Linked DNA regions of Xenopus tropicalis. Each later gene encodes a partner of the first gene's protein in a complex. Links are inferred from orthologs where the notes say so. Each region holds a gene or a part of one and is shown on either strand. Other genes may lie near its edges. The genes, in order: amfr and ube2g2.

Region 1 (3,822 bases):
AGATAAAGCAACACAGTATTCATGCAATTGTTTTATGACAACAGAAATTTGATAAAAATTGATCTGACATCTGAAAACTATTAAAGTAATATAAACAGATTCCAACTACCTGGTGTAGATCATTTAATGTTGTTCATCCAGTTCCATTTCTCTGAACATTTATGTTAGTTAGTCAATATCATTGTAAAAAAAAAAAAACCCTATGTTACTTTAATATTCTGGCACCTACTCTGCTTAAAATACTGACGGTTCCTCCTCATTAGGATGCCAATCAGAGAAGAGTTAGAATGATCCAGGATCACATGCGCAAACTTGCCTTTAGAACCAAGAAATGGCTTTGCTTATTCTAAACATATTGCAAAAAAATAAGATTATAAAAGATTAAATTCTCTCTGTGAGCTGGTACAGCTCATGAACAAGGAGCAAAGTAAGAAAGTGTCAATGTGTGCATCCATTGTACAAGGCTCAAGGTTAGGTTGTGTCCATGCACACTGGGATTACTGTGGGGACTGTTGCATCTGAATTCTTCTTTCTGCCGCTGCAGCCAGCATGCGCCTCCGCACAGTCGTTGAATCTGAAGAACTGTCTGTGTGTGAACCCCTCTCTGATGAACAGTCAGGATTGTCTTCCTCTGAAGTCCTGTTTAAAAAACGTCTAAGAGGAGAACATAAATATTAGTTTATCTTATAAAGCATTGAAATATCTCTCTACAATGAAGTATGGTGTTTATACTATAACCAGCCCTGATGATATAGATCTTCAAAGTTAGTATCAAAGTTGCCCAATTATTGACCTGAACTGAAGAATCTGATCACATCTTTTCACCTAAACAGGGTTTTTTTTACAGCAGCCCATTGGTGACCCCCAATTGTGCTCACTCCCTAACTCCCACTAATTGCACATCTACCATTTTCCGGCATTTCATTTACATCTCAAGCATGCAAACAGGTATCTCAGTCTTATCTGTCTTAAAGCACGAGGCTTAAATCACCCATCACTAAAAGACTGAGAGGAGAGGTATTTCTCCCTTATCCACAGCAGGCCCAAAACTCACTCATAGCATCTGTGTTATAAAGACAGGATGGCTAAACTGCCATTATTTAAATTGGAGAAGAAAAGATTAAAGAGGCATAAGATAGATTTCTCAACAGTGAGGGTCAGACTGCTTTATGCATAGAAAAACTTAAAAATAAAAAAAAAAATAGTAAAAAGAGTGAAGATGTAGAAATCTTTTTAAAAGATGTTGTAGTGACAGGCAAAATAGCATCTGAGATTTAAAGTCACCTTACTGAAGTCAGTTAACTAATTATATATATATAATTACAACAGCTTGACTTGAATCTTGCTTTCCTGTAATGTATTTATCCTACATCATTTTACTCACTGAAGATCCCTTTATTAATAGTTCACTCATATCTCCTACCTCCGTGCAAGTTGAACCATATCTTCTTTCCTCTGGACAAGCATCCGTTGCCTCTCTTCTGCAGATTTGGAGAATCTGCTGCCTCTGGCCTCAAATTCTTCGACATCACTCACTTGAGCCTCGATTACGCTGAAATCCTCATATTCCTCAAGACCTGGGCTCAAATCCAAATTTACACGCTCAGTCTGTGTAAGATGTAAAATAACAGAGGCATTGATGTTCTTTGTTGTTCTGACAATATTGAAAAAAACATGGACAGAGCACACAACATTGCTTTTTGCATGGTAAAGTAATTTTTTTATACTTTGGACATTGAATGGTTGTTCCGATGACATAATCACATCTCAGTTAAAAATACAGGGGAACATTAAAATGTTCATTATACAAAGAATTGTTACCTTTCCAACATTTTAAAAAGGAGACGTATACATATAGAGACATATAGATGTTGAAGACCATGACACCACCTTTTTTATGTACATGGGTGGCATAGCGGTCCCATAAAGAAGGGAGCATTTCCATCTCTAAAATATATGACCTGGACTTTGTGCCAAGTCCCTTTTAGCCATCTAACTTACTTACCTGTGTGGCAGTACTGCTTTCTTCTTGTGCACTGACTTCAGATGTTTCTGTTGCAGATCTGACATCGTCTTGGTGCTGCAGGAGAAAATATAAACTATTTTAAAATGTGGGATTAGGTTGATTTAATTAAAGGTAATCACTTTCAATGTAATTTCAAAGACAGTAACTACTGTTGCCTAACCTGTGTGGGAAAAGGAACTTGAATACGTCCTTCCAATATATTATCAGTGGTAATTTCAACAGAACGCGTAAGCTGCAGATCTTGCAAAACCAAATGATACGGAACTTGTGGGAACATATCTAGAACCTGCCGGGCCTAAAGAAGTAGATGTAAGACAGATATCCAGTACATTGATATTACAGATCACAAGCAAAAAAAAAAAAAAAGTAGAATTATCATTTTTATAACACTGTAACAAACAGCTATATGTGCAGTAAGTTTATGTTATAGTCAACATCAACCACACTAAAATGTAATGACCAATACTGTTAAAGGAGAAGGAAGGGTAAAAATGAAGTAAGCTTTATCAGAAAGGTCTATGTAAATATGGCCATACACACTTACAGAATTGCTGCTCAGCGGAAAAAAAAACTACCAGATCTTTTTTTTATCCTGTATACATGATCTTATGTGTCGGACTTCCTTCTCTCAGAATAATCCTTGAGGGCATGGCACAAGCCAGCTCAGTTTGCTCCTCTATCCCTTCATCTCCTCCCCTCCTATCATCTCTCTATCCCCCTCCTAACTGTGATGTGTTATCTGAGCTACCAGCATACAGAGCTGCAGCACAAATGCTACTGAGACCAAGCTAAAATGGCTGTTTACTCAGGTATTTATTCTAAAGAAGAAATTTAGCATTCTTGCTTGCACTATTGTGACTAATCTATTGACAATAAAATGCCAAAATGCCTTTCCTTCTCCTTTAATGCTCTGATTAATTATATGGTACATTAGTAACCTTACAGGAGCTAGTCACTGTCAACTACTTACCATAGCATTCAGCTGAGAGTTGCTTGCTTGTGCAAGGCCAAGGATGTTGGTTGTATGCATTACTTCCACTGAGAAGCTAGGCAACCAACTAGCAAATCGAGAACCTAAAGAAAAATCAAGATATAGGCTTAAATTCAATCAACTCCCACCGATTTCTGTCTACCTTAAAATCAGGCTACTTCTTACCATCAAAATGGAAAAAGTGATTATGATGGTTGAGACGTGGCCGTCCTTCTGTAACTGCCAGTGGTACCGCATTCTGATCTTGATTTTCCCTCTGCTGTTCTACACGAGTTCTTGTGCCATCAGCCATGTTAAGGGACATCCTGCAAGTTGGGCATGACGTGTCCTGCTCCAGCCAGGATCGGAGGCATGAGCTAAGACAAAAAGTAAGTAGGATACACAGTCAGTTTTAAAATTCTGCCTCACACTTCTGCTGTGGTTTATTTGGTTCTGCCAGCAAGAAAATCTTATTTAAAGATCTTTTTTAACCCCACATTTAGTAGTACTCTTTAAAAAGAGGCACATTTCACTCTGCTCTTTATTCAGGAAATTCTCCTCTGCCTTACTGATTACACCAGCTCTGGTCCACTGTAAAATAACAGTGCACGTTCACAACTGTATACACTACATATACAGTAAACTATTAGTACCAAAATTATTTTAAACTACAAAAATATGCCCATAGGATTTGAAGAATTACATTTTAACACTAACATTTTCTGCATATGTCTATTGCCAGTTGCATCCTCTGTCCACACTTCTAAATTTTTGGTTAAAGCAGATATCACCCACAGTTACCTACTTGTGGAAAAGATGACCGCAG
Region 2 (4,495 bases), on another chromosome or scaffold:
GAGAAATTCTCAGGGTGCATCTTTAATCCCTTGCAATTTACTTTTTTTTTTTTTTTTTTTTTAATTTCAGAGCTATTAATTTGGTTTTAAACTGCCAGCTAAGGTTTCCAACTGCACAGTTGGGAAGATCATGTTCAGAAGGAAAACATAACTTTTCTTATATTGCTTTCTTTAGGAAAGAGATCAGATGACTTTTCTCATGAGCAGAACAACATTTTCTTAGAACAGTTCTGGACTCAAGCATGCGGATCGTTGTGGGTTTCTGACCCTGGTCTGTTAATATCATTATTGGATATGCTCTCCTGTGTGAAGTGAGGTGATAGATAAGTATTACGCCTTGTAACATGTTCTAAGAAAATTATTTTCTATTTGAGAACAGGATATCTGTATACATATACATATCTTTCGCTGACTGTGAACTTTTTTCAACTGAGAGTGCATATTATCACGGACTTCACCTTTAAATGTTTGGCATACAGGAGTGCACTAACCAAATTTTCTGAGTGCACCAGCTGGACTTTTGAGATATGCATTTGCATCTGTGAAACATAGGGGCAGATTCATCAATGTACGAGTTCGAATCCCGAAATGGGTAAAATTCGGATTAGATACGATAATTTCTGATGATCGGAAATGTCACAAAAATGTTTGTATCCGATCGATCGTTAAGGGCGGGAAAACCTTTCTGACTTTGAACCTCCTGTGCATGTTTTTGGAAGCAAAAAACGCAGAAAATACACACAGTACGAAAACTCGTATTCGGAAACAATCGTACTTTGATAAATTTGATAGAGTTGATACCCCAACGTTGATCCAACGTTATTACATACTGGTGTTCCTAACAATCCTACTTATAGGTGTGCTTAGGGGGGAAAGAAGGGAACCTTCCATGAATGGCGTTTGTTAATTGTTTTATAGGTTAGGGTTTTTTAATATTTGTTGGCTGTATTGGTGAATAAAGATTGCTATTTTATCATGTGTAACCTCTAATGTGTTTGTTACTTCTGGGATCATTAAGTCCCTTGTTTATTTAAGATTTATATTAGGGGCTCTTTAACAAATTGTGATTTGGAAGCCAGAGTTCCCCTTTAAGTTGCAAAAGTGCTTAGAAGAGAACTCTGAAAGTGTAAGGGTGAGGACACATGGGGGCACATTTACTGTTTTTTCATGAGCATATTTTCGGCGACTTTTTCGTATTTTTAGCGCGAAAAAATCGGATCGGTTTTGCCGCTGTTTACAATCGTTTGGTACGAAAATTTTGTGACTTTCGGATCACCAATACCATATTATCGTGACTAATACGATTTTTTCGGAAGCATTTTCGTGATATTTGCAATCTTCAGAAATTTTCGTTTCCAATCCGAATTTTTCCCTTTCGAGATTCGAACTCGTGTTTTGATAAATCTGCCCCATGGAGTCACTAGCAGCAGCTAAAGGGGCGTCACTTTCTATGACGTTAAAAGCCGACACAAGCGCATCATAGAAAACGATGCCACCGTCAAATTAAGCGCCATGTGGCGAATTTTACTGTCGCGTTACTAATTTTTTCCCCATCCATAGTAGCAGCTACTTGTCACAGCTACAGAAATAGACAAAGCTGATCATTTACTGATAATTGTCTCTATGTGTGTTTTAGCAGAGGCAATTCTCAATATTGTCTATGGCAGGGTATTTTCTGACATTTAGTAGCCATGACAAGTAGCTGCTACTAAGTAGCTCTGTGTGTCTTCACCCTAATTGGCTTCTGACAAAACTGACAATAATGTCTGTGTCTGATTGTGAAAAGGAACTTAAAACTGTAAGCTCCACTGGGTCAGGGCCTGTAAAATATACCGAAAAGTGCTCAGAAACAGGTCAAAACTGTATAGAGAAAAGCTAAACTATACTGTAATATATTGATCCCTCCATTGTTACGAAATATACTGTGATTTAGGGGCATGTTTACTAAGACTGGAGATAAATATCACCATCAGCAATTTGATTTGAACAGTCACCTACAAGTTAGAAATCAAAATCTAAGATCTGATTGGTTGCCACGCTCCTATCTCCTCTGGAAAAACTATTATTCTAACCATCTTAATACATAAAACCTCACTGATGTTCTATTCATTCCTATGGGATTTGTAGAAGCATATTTATCTATTGGTGAGTTCTAAATTTCTCCCTTTGATAAATAACTTTGCTTATAAAAATCCCATAGGAATGAATAGAATGCGGGTGAGTTTTTATGTATTAAGCTCACATTTTGATAAATCTGCCCCATAAGTTTGCCACCTGGCCCTTATTGTACCGGCCTAGATGTAAAAATGATGCCTGATGCCAATGTTCTATTAGGAAACAAGCTAAAATTATAGGAAGGCTGGTATTTTATTCTCAGAAAATGTGCCAACCCTAAGTACACATTGCCTTTTGGTGTAGGTCCCAGATATACAAAACACATGAGGTTGCCGATCCCCCCTAGCTATAGTCAGGATAAATATGAACACATTATTGGAACCCTGCAAAAATCAATAAGAACACTGAGCTGCAACAACATTAACTGAGAATCTACAGAAACCCCAAGACCCTGAAGTGTAACTAATACACAACATAATAGCGCTGCTTCTGCACCAACACTGTCTTTGTACATACGCCAAGCACAGCGTCACTGGCGGCGGCGGCGCTAGGAAATTGGCCTACTGCTGTAACTACCGCAAAGTACAGCAACACGTAAGCGCTGAGCAGGGCACATCACGTGACCGACGTCCCTACTACAGCAGAAGGAAAGCCCTTATCCTTTCTAAAATACCTTGAAGTGTTACTATAATTCCTTACCATTCACCACCCTAACATGTGCACTTACGTTTATATTCAGCCATCAGGCGTTTTAACGCCGTCCCGGCCATCACTGACAGGCGGCCAGCACCACAGTAGCAGCTGCTTCCGAGCGGATGTTTGGCCTCTCTGTGACGTCACGCACACGTGACACGCGGCGTCATCTTCGTTGCATAAATAAGCACAAACCGCAGGAGAAGCGCCGTGTGCGGGCATTTTGTATGTAGGGACACAGTTTCACTTCTAGGGGTTTGAGTGCCTTGAATTTTAAAGGGAGAATGGGTTAGTACCATATTTAGATGTCCTGGTGTGGCAGCATATGGTGACACTAGATATGTGTGTATGTATGGTGAAACTAGATATGTTACCACTACCCACAATAAATGGTTTGCAGTAAATCTGCTGAAGCTTTTTTCCTACTTTTCCAATTTAAACAGCTGATGTTTCTTTATAATAAGCAGTTTGTATAAAGCGTTCCATTGATTAATGTTCTAATAAGTCATTTAGTATATTGTGGGTCAGTGAAGTTTGCTATAGGTTTAACCCCTACCCACCTACCTGCCCCTGCTCTGGCTGTCATTGCTTGCTTGATATGGAAGTTACGTCTGTTTTTACATAAGCTATATAAGGCTATGGCCCAATGACTAGTCATAAGTAGTTCATAACAGTTGTAAAAATCATGAATGTGCTAATAATTCAGTATTTTAATTGGGGGTCAGTGGAGTTTATACTTAGGGGCACATTTACTAATCCACGAACGTCCGAAAAGAGTCCGAATGCATTTTTTTCGTAATGATCGGTATTTTGCGATTTTTTCGTAAATTGTCACTACTTTTTCGTAGCCGTTATGACTTTTTCGTAGCCGTCGCGCAGAGTACGAAAGTTTCAGATTCATTCAAGCTTCAGTATCGTGACTTTCCTTGGGCCGGGTTGGAGCTGCAGAGTGCCATTGAGCCCTATGGGAGACTTTCCTTGGGCCAGGTTGGAGCTGCAGAGTGCCATTGAGCCCTATGGGAGGCTTTCCTTGGGCCGGGTTGGAGCTGCAGAGTGCCATTGAGCCCTATGGGAGGCTTTCCTTGGGCCAGGTTGGAGCTGCAGAGTGCCATTGAGTCCTATGGGAGACTTTCCTTGGGCCAGGTTGGAGCTGCAGAGTGCCATTGAGCCCTATGGGAGACTTTCCTTGGGCCGGGTTGGAGCTGCAGAGTGCCATTGAGCCCTATGGGAGACTTTCCTTGGGCCGGGTTGGAGCTGCAGAGTGCCATTGAGCCCTATGGGAGACTTTCCTTGGGCCGGGTTGGAGCTGCAGAGTGCCATTGAGCCCTATGGGAGACTTTCCTTGGGCCAGATTGGAGCTGCAGAGTGCCATTGAGCCCTATGGGTGACTTTCCTTGGGCCAGGTTGGAGCTGCAGAGTGCCATTGAGTCCTATGGGAGACTTCCAAAATCATGCAAAGTCTGAAAGTTTTGCCCGCCGTTTACGAGCGCTCAATACAAAAAGTCGCGACAATATACGAGCAAATCGTAACGGCTACGAAAAAGTCGCAACAGCGACGAAAAAATCGCAAAAATACGAAAAAGTCGCAAAATATTCGTTTCCAATCCGAATTTTTCCAATTCGGATTCATGGATTAGTAAATGTGCCCCTAAGTCACGTAAGTTCTTTGAAAGTAATGTAATGATAT

Evidence for each region.
Region 2: the proteins of amfr (region 1) and ube2g2 are in contact, whole or in part, in an NMR structure (PDB 2LXP), measured with the Homo sapiens proteins. The link is inferred for Xenopus tropicalis from reciprocal best matches to the Homo sapiens genes AMFR and UBE2G2. Residues at the interface, in NP_001135.3 of Homo sapiens: Ser574, Ala575, Arg578, Gln579, Met581, Leu582, Arg585, Lys586, Leu589, Leu590, Ala593, Arg594, Arg596, Phe597, Leu598, Lys600; in NP_003334.2 of Homo sapiens: Tyr13, Leu16, Thr17, Pro20, Gly23, Ile24, Val25, Ala26, Gly27, Pro28, Met29, Asn30, Glu31, Glu38, Leu40, Met42, Glu45, Glu50, Phe51, Val53, Val159, Gln160, Leu163, Gly164, Leu165.

Annotation. Positions count from the first base shown.
Region 1 is NC_030680.2:51,701,207-51,705,028, forward strand, and holds part of amfr (E3 ubiquitin-protein ligase AMFR), read right to left. Parts: coding exon 3,802-3,822; intron 3,374-3,801; coding exon 3,183-3,373; intron 3,101-3,182; coding exon 2,997-3,100; intron 2,322-2,996; coding exon 2,187-2,321; intron 2,081-2,186; coding exon 2,006-2,080; intron 1,609-2,005; coding exon 1,424-1,608; intron 655-1,423; coding exon 498-654; 3' UTR 1-497. UniProt on the Homo sapiens protein: E3 ubiquitin-protein ligase that mediates the polyubiquitination of lysine and cysteine residues on target proteins, such as CD3D, CYP3A4, CFTR, INSIG1, SOAT2/ACAT2 and APOB for proteasomal degradation.
Region 2 is NC_030685.2:55,076,578-55,081,072, forward strand, and holds the start of ube2g2 (ubiquitin-conjugating enzyme E2 G2), read right to left. Parts: upstream 2,917-4,495; 5' UTR 2,886-2,916; coding exon 2,843-2,885; intron 1-2,842. UniProt on the Homo sapiens protein: Accepts ubiquitin from the E1 complex and catalyzes its covalent attachment to other proteins. In vitro catalyzes 'Lys-48'-linked polyubiquitination. Involved in endoplasmic reticulum-associated degradation (ERAD).